2 linked regions of the Caenorhabditis elegans genome follow. The protein of the gene in region 2 interacts with the protein of the main gene of each other region in a pairwise test. Each region holds a gene or a part of one and is shown on either strand. Other genes may lie near its edges.

Region 1 (4,810 bases), 5.1 Mb from region 2:
GCTCCACTTGTTCCGGCTCCGCCAACCCTTCCACTTCTAGAACTCAATACATCTCAAGGCCCATCAACTTCTGGAATTTCACAGCAAAATCCACAACAATCGAGCTCAAGCTTCTTCCATGATGATGATGAAGATCAGGATGAGACGAAGAACTTCCGTGATGAGGAAATCGAGTCTCCAAGGTGTCATGGCTCGACGAGCACACTGAAAAATGATGAAGAAGCTGCTGAGCTCTCGGATTTCCTGAGTAAATCCAATTTGACAACTCTTGAAGAGGTGAGTTTTGGTGGAAATTTAAAATTTTCCGCTTGAAACAATTATAATTACTTTCAGGGCAAGGACTCCGGCTTCAGCACGACTCCAGACGACGCCAAAGAGCCCGAAAAAGTTGCAGCTAATTAATAACGTTTCCCCAACAGTTTCTCCCCCCGATTACACGTGTAAAAATCCTATGGACTTTCGAAATTATTCACTTCACCGAGTTCTAATATTTAATTTATTGATTTTTCTTTGAACTTTTCATATTTTAATTAATTTATTATATAAAGATTTTTAATTAATTCAAAGACATACCTAATTGTCTTTCTTTTCTAGGCCACGAAACAAAGAGTGCTCCACGCGCACCCACGAGTTGTCGGTACACAGCTCCCCACTACCCCTACCCTCTCCTCCATTCAGTATCGCTTCTTCGGCTTATTAGCTAAGATCAAAGTGTAGTATCTGTTCTTATCGTATTAACCTACGGTATACACTCGAATGAGTGTAATAAAGGTTATATGATTTTTGGAACCTAGGGAAGACTCGGGGCTTGCTCCGACTTCCCAAGGGTCGTCCTGGCGTTGCACTGCTGCCGGGCTCGGCCCAGTCCCCGAGGGGACAAAATAAGCTTGCAGAATAGTGAAAAATCAATTTTCAAAAAATAAAGTATAGTTGTTAAATAGACATTCAATTTTAACTTGGCCTTTAAAAACTATAAGAAAAGTCACTCAACTTATTCCCAAATTGACACTCCACGTAAAAGACGTGACCCATAGGTCATAATTGTAAGCATTTCCCTCCCCCCCCCCCACTCAAAATCGAAAACAAAATAAGAATCATACCTCAACTCTCATCCCGAACCGGATAGACGATTGAACACCATGGCTGCTTTCCTGCCAATTGCCTTGAGCATTGCTATGCTCACCGTGCTCACCAATGCCAATCCAATTCACCCGGTCCCAAATGCGGCCTTCCTTCCCTATCGTTCCTGTGGATCCCATCTTGTTCATCGCGCTTTTGAAGCTTGCAGTGGGAAGAAAGGTATGTTATTATATCATTCTTAGCAGGTTAAAACCGAATCATCGCTTTTCAGATCGCAGCAGTGATGTGGATCTTTGGAAGATGTGCTGCAAGGACGAGTGTACCGATCTGGACATCAAGGAGTCTCTGTGCAAGTACGCTTCGCAAGGATATGGAGTAAAGTTTGAGGAGGAAGCCGAAGAAATCGATATGGTCAGCTTTGCGGCGGAGGGTTTTAAAAAGAGCTGTGGACATGATATTGTTGTGAAGACAGTCAATGTACCGACGAAAATATCATTGAAGCAATGTGCCCGAACAAGGGGGTGGCGCCGGCGGCGGCCTAGAAGAATCCCGGACAAGTTCAATCGAGTGCAAAACTATGCCTGTATTAATTGTGTAAAAATAAAGTAATGTATGTATAATATATGTGGATTTGAATTACTAGCGCAAAATTTTAACTGATTTCACAACTATTGCAAGTGCGCTCCATTGAAACGCCACTTATCAACACACCGTCGTCCACTTAACAGACCGTTGGTATATATACTCTGTTGATAGAAGGTTTTTTATCAGGCATAGGTCCGGAGTCGGTGGGTTATCTGAAGAAACCACCCCATCGGCAACAACTTGACTTCCTGTTTTGCATTGTTGGAATTTGGTGGGCAAGTTGATTAGAAAGAAACGTTTAATTTTAGTTAGGCATTTTTCAATTAAATTCGAAAAATAATAAAAATTACAGAAACAAAATAAGATTTCGTATATATAGGCTTGAAATGCAGATTTTTTAAAATAGATTTTTTCAAATCATTAGTCAATTTTTTACCCAAAAAATTACACCTTACATAAAGTTGTTTGACACAGTCTCCTAATTATCGAATTGCGGTGGAGCGCATTTTGTACACTACTAGAGACCCAGAGAAACCCACCACCATTCCTCGAGAAACGTCCACCGCTTGCATTGCCTCTAGTATATATACTTCCTCCTCCCCAACAGTTTTCGAATTCCTGCGGTCCGGATCGTATGGGTTATCAATTCTCAACCACCCCATACGAACTAACTTGACTACCGGAATTTTGCAATTTTTGATAAAAATTACTTGTTTTTGTAGTATGCAAATTAAATATAAAATTTATTATTATTTGTATTTTTTTAAAAATAAATTCGTGTGTCAATAATGAGTTTCTATTTTTGAAACTTTAAAGCACGACAAAGATGGGTCCTGCTGCGCAAAATACAATTTTAGGACGTTTTTTATATAAATTTATAGCATAAATTTTACTATAGAGATATAAGAGCTATGAATTCAAAAATGTTCTCCTTCTAGAGTTATGTAATTGCCCCAGTTTTGCCGGAAATTTCAATTCCGGCAATTTTACGATTTACCGGAAATTTCAATTCCGTCAATTTGCCGGTATGCCACAACTCCAATTCCGGCAATTTGATGATTTGTCGGAAATTTTAAATTTTGTCACTTTGCCGGTATGCCGAAAATGTCCAATTCCGGTAACTTTCAAGTTTGCCGGAAAATTTCAATTCCGCAATTTGCCGATTTGCCGGAAATTTTCAATTCCGGCAATTTTCCGATTTGCCGGAAAAAAAATTTGCAAAAAAATTTGCAAATTCCTTACTTTTTGACCTCTGAAAATTGCGGGAAACATAGACTTCTATGTACTTCCAGAAATGTTCTGTGTGACCCCAATTTTCGGAGATCAAACGGCAAGGAGTTCTCCTCAAATTTGGCAATACTACACACATATCGTCATCAATATTTGCCCACCTTATCAAAGTCATGACTAATTTCGAAACTCTTCGAAATAATTCGAAACTATTCGTCAACAAAACCCACCTATAAAACCAGCACCTCTCACCTTGAAGAGCATCTCATTTACAATGAGAAAGCTCAGCACTCGTCCACTTCCTCTTGGAGACGGATTCTTCGACTCGTCATCTGATAGTTCAGAATCTGAACTTTCAGATAAGGACGATGAAGATAGATATTCCGACTCCACGGTTTCCACGTTAACTTCTCAAGATCGTAGAGACACCCAAGGGTGTCAATATCCACGTTCTTCGGAACTTCCGATCTCTGAATCTCCAGCTCCACGAGCTCGACGAGCTCGTAAACAGAGATCGAAGAGAAAGTCGGTGAAACCTCCGAACACTTCGTCTGACGACTCTTCTGATGACTCTGATGATTCTTCCTCGTCCTCTTCTTCCGATGACTCGGTGAGTTCTAAATCATCAACCAATTCCAGTGACTCCTCGCCATGCCGTTGTCGAGATGGGCTTGCCGAGTGGGAGCAGCGTCATGGGAGACGATGGCATCCGTATGGAAGAAATGGAACGTGGGAACCATACCGCAATCGTCGTCGCGGGATCTATGATTGTGAGAACTCGCCGAGAGAAACTTATTCGAATGGAGCTTGAATTTTTAAATGTAAATATTTGTTTTTAGTTTAATTGTATTCTATTTCATTTTTGGTATCCTATATCTTGGTTTAAATAAGTGATATCGAAAAGTGTTCAACTACAAAATTATTGAAAAAGGCATCAGCAATATTTTGTTTGTTGGTAGTTTTTCGATAAATCTTAAAACAACCGGGATATGACCATTTAAGTGTGTTGTCTATTTATTGTTGTGTAAAAATAAATAATTTGTATTTTTCGAATTTGTGTTTTGTTCTTTATTATTAAATTAAAAAACCAAATAATAAGAAAGAGGTCATATAAAACTGTTGCCGGAATTAAAATTTCCGGCAAATCGGAAAATTGCGGGAATTGAAACTTCCGACAAATTGGAAAATTGCCTGAATTGAAATTTCTGGCAAATCGGCAAAATTGCCGGAGGATTGAAATTTCCGACTAATCAGAAAATTGCCGGAATTGAAATTTCCGGAAAATCGGTGAACCGGCAAAATTGAAAATTTCTGACAAATCGCCAAATTGCCGGAATTGAAATTTCCGGAAAATCGGTGAACCGGCAAAATTGAAAATTTCTGGCAAATCGCCAAATTGCCGGAATTGAAATTTCCGATAAATCAGCAAATTGCCGGAATTGAAGTTTCCGGAAAATCGGTAAACCGGCAAAATTGAAAATTTCTGACAAATCGCCAAATTGCCGGAATTGAAGTTTCCGGAAAATCGGTGAACCGGCAAAATTGAAAATTTCTGGCAAATCGCCAAATTGCCGGAATTGAAGTTTCCGATAAATCAGCAAATTGCCGGAATTGAAATTTCCGGAAAATCGGTAAACCGGCAAAATTGAAAGTTTCTGGTAGTTCGCCAAATTGCCGGAATTGAAATTTCCGGAAAATAGGCAAGTTGCCGGAATTGAAGTTACTGATAAATCAGCAAATTGCCGGAATTGAAATTTCCGATAAATCAGCAAATTGCCGGAATTGAAATTTCCGGAAAATCAGCGAATTGCCAGAATTGAAATTTCCGGAAAATAGGCAAGTTGCCGGAATTGAAATTTCTGATAAATCAGCAAATTGCCGGAATTGAAATTTCCGGAAAATAGGCAAGTTGCCG
Region 2 (4,838 bases):
GACAACTAGTTTTGCTTTTTATACGATGTTGGTTAATAGATCATCAGCGTACATTTTCTTTCCCATGTCTCTATCGCTGAAGAAAAATATATTTCCTGTTTACAAAAATATATTTCAAACCAATATTGCAAACCAAATTTTGGGCGAGGTTTATTTTGAGCAATTTTGTGATCAAATACAAAATAATGTGCCAAATGAACTGAAATATCCTCATCCTTAATATTAAAATTTATTTGCTTTTTGAACCAATTTTCTAGTAAAATTCTACGTTCGTCAAAGAAAATATGAAACGTAAAGCACAAAGAACACTTGGCACATTTCGGACGTCAGCGGAAGTTTGCTCAAGGCACTGTTTTTTGTCAAGTCATGGATTTACAAAAAACAATGGCGGGAACGCGAACAGGAATGTCTTTGAAATACATGTTTAGTGTGGGAAAAAGTGAAGAGTGTGTCACAGGAAGAATTTTTGAATTTCGGGGAATATTTTCATGATCACTATCAGTTTATTTGTCTAGTTAAGATAAAAGTTTAGGTTTCTCATTTAGTTCGAGTTCTTCACTAATGTTCTACTTCTAGTTGATCTGAATCAAATATTGTGTTCTTGAAAGTCACGAGTGTGCACATCGAACTCCCATTTTGATAACATTTATTTTATGGGAATCACGAATATTTTTGAACTTTTATAGCCCTGTTTATGAGATGATAATATTAAAGATTCAATCAAAAGTTTACATATCAACAACACTATATTCTAGCATAAGAAGAAGACATAAGAAGAGTTTCTCAAATAAAAATCATTTTCTTATCATATTTTATATCCAGTTTTTATGATATTTACAACGAGTTCATCAAATCAATGATTGCACCTATCAAATTTTTAAAAAAGAAAAAGAATAACATGTTTATGAATGTTGCAGATTTTCATTGTTAGAAAGACAATGAAAATTACAGTATCGGACTGATTTTAGAACATTTGATAAAAAGTATGTTCATTGTACATTGTACCGTGATGTACTTTTTCAGTCATTATGCTTCATTAGATTTAAAATGCCCCACGAGAATTGAATTTTCAGTCTTTGTAGCCCATTTTTAGTCTAATGGAAAAAGTCCCAAAACTTTGCTACTCCACCTTTAATTTTAAAAACAATTTTTCCGAATATTCTTTTTTGAAATCTTCCAGATTTGTAATATATTCCAACAATACAGTTACAACATAAACATAAACATTTTTTGCAAGAATCTCAGAGACATCAACCAACATCCCCATTTTACAAGTGTTGTTTTTCTTTTCTTATCACAACACATCTCACCAACGATCAATGTCAATTTAACAAACCAATAGTAGTATTACATAGTGATAAGCGATTTTCGATGACCCAGCTCTATCATTTTGCTGTGTTTTGTTTTGTTTACTGATCGGCTGCTGATCAAAGGGCTTGAATATTCCGAAATGATCAACTGTCAACAAGATACGCAAACATAATTGTCTGAGAGCTTCTACTACATTCAAGTCAGGGCGTATCCTAGAAAAAACATAGAAGACTGGCATTGTGACGTCCCGGTCCTCAATCGGAATGTATCAATTATGAGACATCATCATCATTGCCAATTAAGTATGTCGGAGTTGGCATACATTTTATGTTGGCATACATTTTTACGTATCATCTCCATTTCACTATCACTGGCACTTCATTCATTTTTTTGTGTCTTCTGTCTCCTTGTCATATATCCATTCCAAAAACAAAAGTGTGACCTCCGGCGAGTCACCAAATGTGCAAAAAATGTACCTGTGGGCGGTAAATATGATAAAAATAGATGAGTACTTGACGGAAACAAACGAGTAAAGGTGCGAAGACACAAGTAGTTGATGAATGAAAACACAGTTTTTTTTGCACGGAAACAAGAGCTATCTTTGAGTGATTTGATCAGCTAACTATTGTACAAAGTGATTTCATTTTTTTGTAAGTCTGCGATTTGAGGTTGAGATGGGGTATCTTTTTAGACTAAAATGGAAGAAAGAAGCCGAACATCAGTTTAAAAAGAGAAAGATGGAAGCAATAGTTGTTGATGTTCCTACCTAAGAAAGTTCATTTCAAATAAACTAAATTCCAGTCAAGATCCAAGTGATCAACCATCACCAGTGGGTAGCAAAGTTGAGCAACATGCAAATTGTTTGAATTGATCGAGACATTTTGACAGTTTTCCGCGAGTGATTACGATTACGCAACATGTTGGCCAATATCCCTTCCGGAATGGCAATGAAGCCTGTATAAAAGTGAGGAAGAACTTTGGAAACTCACATCATTCTCATTAACTCCTAATCTTATAATGACTACTTCCACTCTTGCGATTCTCCTTGCCATCGGAACTTTTATTGCGGTTTCTCAAGTGAGAATTATTTTTCAATTACTTAATATCTTCTCAATTTTTCAATATTTCCAGGTTCAATCTGCGGTTCTTCCAGTATCATCGACTGAGTTGGCAACTGTTGGAACTGATGTTTCAACAGCTTCAACTGCCATCGACACTCTAGGAAATTCTAGCTCAAGAGTGAAAAGACAAGGAGGATGTGGGTGCTGCGGTTGTGGATGTGGATGTTGTGGATGCGGAGGAGGAGGTGGTGGATGTGGATGCTGCTGTTGTAGACCAAGGTACCCAGTTTTGGAAATACTTGAAGCTATAAAAAATTTTACCAGATTGAGCATATCATGGAATTTTTAAAAATGGAAATTCAATTTTATTATATAGTTTAATTTTATTAATATATAGTAAGCTTTAACTGAAACTTCTAGATGCTGCTGCTGCTGTCGCCGTTGCTGTACCTGCTGTAGAACTTGCTGCTGCACCAGATGCTGCACTTGCTGTCGTCCATGCTGTTGTGGATGTGGATGTGGATGTGGATGCTGTGGATGCGGAGGAGGAGGACGTAAGCGTCGTTCCCTCCAAAACCTCAGAATCGATGATGCTAACCGTGCTCTCGGAATCAAGAGAAAGTCCTCAAAGGCTGACAGATGTTAAATTCAGTTGATTCTTATTTATTTTTGGCACCCAGCTACTTAACTTATTACTAAAATTAGTAATATTTATCCCAATAATAATAATAATAATAAATTTGTGTTGTCCTTAGCTTTTACGGAATAATGGCAGGTGCAAATGGTTATGTTGACACCTTGGCGGCGCCAAATGCAAACACCCAATCAAAGCATTCTCCGAGAATCTAATTTAAACGTTACTTTTTTCGTTGGGTGGTTTTTTTACATTTCAGTTGCGAGGAAAATTTTTAAAAGAATTTTTAAGTCTTAAAAAAATATGATTGAATTTGCAATTCGCGTTTTGTAATTTTGGTATTGAAAAAAAACGCGGTTGTGCTGTGGGGGTAAACAAAACTGATGAAATTCCGAATTAAAGGCAAAAAATACGCAAAAAGGATTTCACTCTCAAATTAGGGTCTCCAGAAGTCGGTACCATTTGTTTATTTTTTGGACCTCTTTTCATGTTCTCGAGGGCATTCTAATTGGATTCACTGACTCTTGGCATCACTGGGGTCCTTCAAAAAGACCTCCTCTTCATTTTTTTTTTGTTTCTTCCCATTTTCTCAATGCTCACAGCAAAAATACACAAACACACACATGAGAGCAATATGAAATTTCATTATTATTCGATTTCCTAGATCTCTTTTTTGCGACTTTTCGTGTCTCTTTGACTCTTTTTTGTTTTATGTTTTTCATACTTAAAATAAAAAGATAGGAAACCAAAAGTATTATCTGATTCAGTTTTTTCAAAAGTAATTAAAACCATGTTGTTTCCAAATTTTGTAGTTTTGGGCCTCCGGACTAGATACTTTAAGGTGCCTTAACCCTCGTGGTACCGTTGTCTTTATTTTTCAACTTAGTAAAATCATGAAGAAATTGCAAAAAAATATCCGGAAAGTACACTTTTTTTTACTAGAGAAAGCCAAAACATGTTTGAATTCATTTTTTTTTGTTATCGGTCATTTTAAGCTTAATTTTAAAAGATCTAAATAAGTGGTTGAAATCGCAGTTGTGATTAATGACAAGGAAATTGAAGTAAAATAGGAAATAACCTGAATATTTCAAAAACAAGCCCTGCCCACATCTCGGATTAAAATCGTTATTGGAAAAGGTTCTATAAGTTTAGAATCATTGATTCATGTTTCTTGACTCTAAAAAGTATAAAAGAGATCATTTTCGGTTGAGTGAACTTGTCTTGATTCCAACATTTTGCTTCTTTAGTTTATTCTTCTTTTCTCACTCTTTTTACTCGTTTTGCACTTTATAGTTTTTATAGTTCTTTTTCAATATCTCTTTCCCTCCAGTCTCCGCACTTCTCTTTTGCATTGAATTTTATGAGCAGGTTGATGGTGTCGACTCGAAAAGGTTCCAGAGGTTCTAGTTTCAAGCCAAGAGAGGGCAGGCACCAACTGAATTCGTATTCAAAGCAGGAGAAGCTCATGTACGTGTTCCATCTTCTTTTTTTCTCGCTTTCCGTTCATCTTTCCTCCTCTTATTCATCTTCTCGTTTGGGATAACAACAACAAACACAACATTGACGCTTTCCGATTCCCGAGGGCACCACCACGGCGACATAAGTTATTTTTTCGAACAAAAAGAGAGAAAAAAGTCACAGATGTTTTTTCGGGAATTTCGTAGTACGCAAATAGACATTTTTGAGCATTTCCTGAATTTTGAGATTCGTTAACGTGATTTTCAGAAATTATTTTCAAAAGAAAACTTGTTCGTGAAGTGTATGTTAAAGTGAAGAGGTACTAGGTTTTGTTTGCAAGAAAGAACCGTTTTCAAGCTTTTGAACTGAAATTT

Evidence for each region. The genes of interacting proteins can lie anywhere in the genome.
Region 1: the proteins of idpb-4 (region 2) and F08G2.5 interact in a two-hybrid assay, tested with the Caenorhabditis elegans proteins (one large-scale study listed by BioGRID).

Annotation. Positions count from the first base shown.
Region 1 is NC_003280.10:13,831,991-13,836,800, reverse strand, and holds F08G2.5 (WW domain-containing protein), read left to right. Parts: upstream 1-3,169; coding exon 3,170-3,706; downstream 3,707-4,810. Other genes in the region: F08G2.7 (uncharacterized protein), read left to right, coding at 1-276, 334-402; ins-37 (INSulin related), read left to right, coding at 1,140-1,299, 1,352-1,689.
Region 2 is NC_003280.10:8,735,014-8,739,851, reverse strand, and holds idpb-4 (Intrinsically Disordered Protein, class B), read left to right. Parts: upstream 1-2,295; 5' UTR 2,296-2,328; coding exon 2,329-2,388; intron 2,389-2,442; coding exon 2,443-2,651; intron 2,652-2,792; coding exon 2,793-3,018; 3' UTR 3,019-3,126; downstream 3,127-4,838.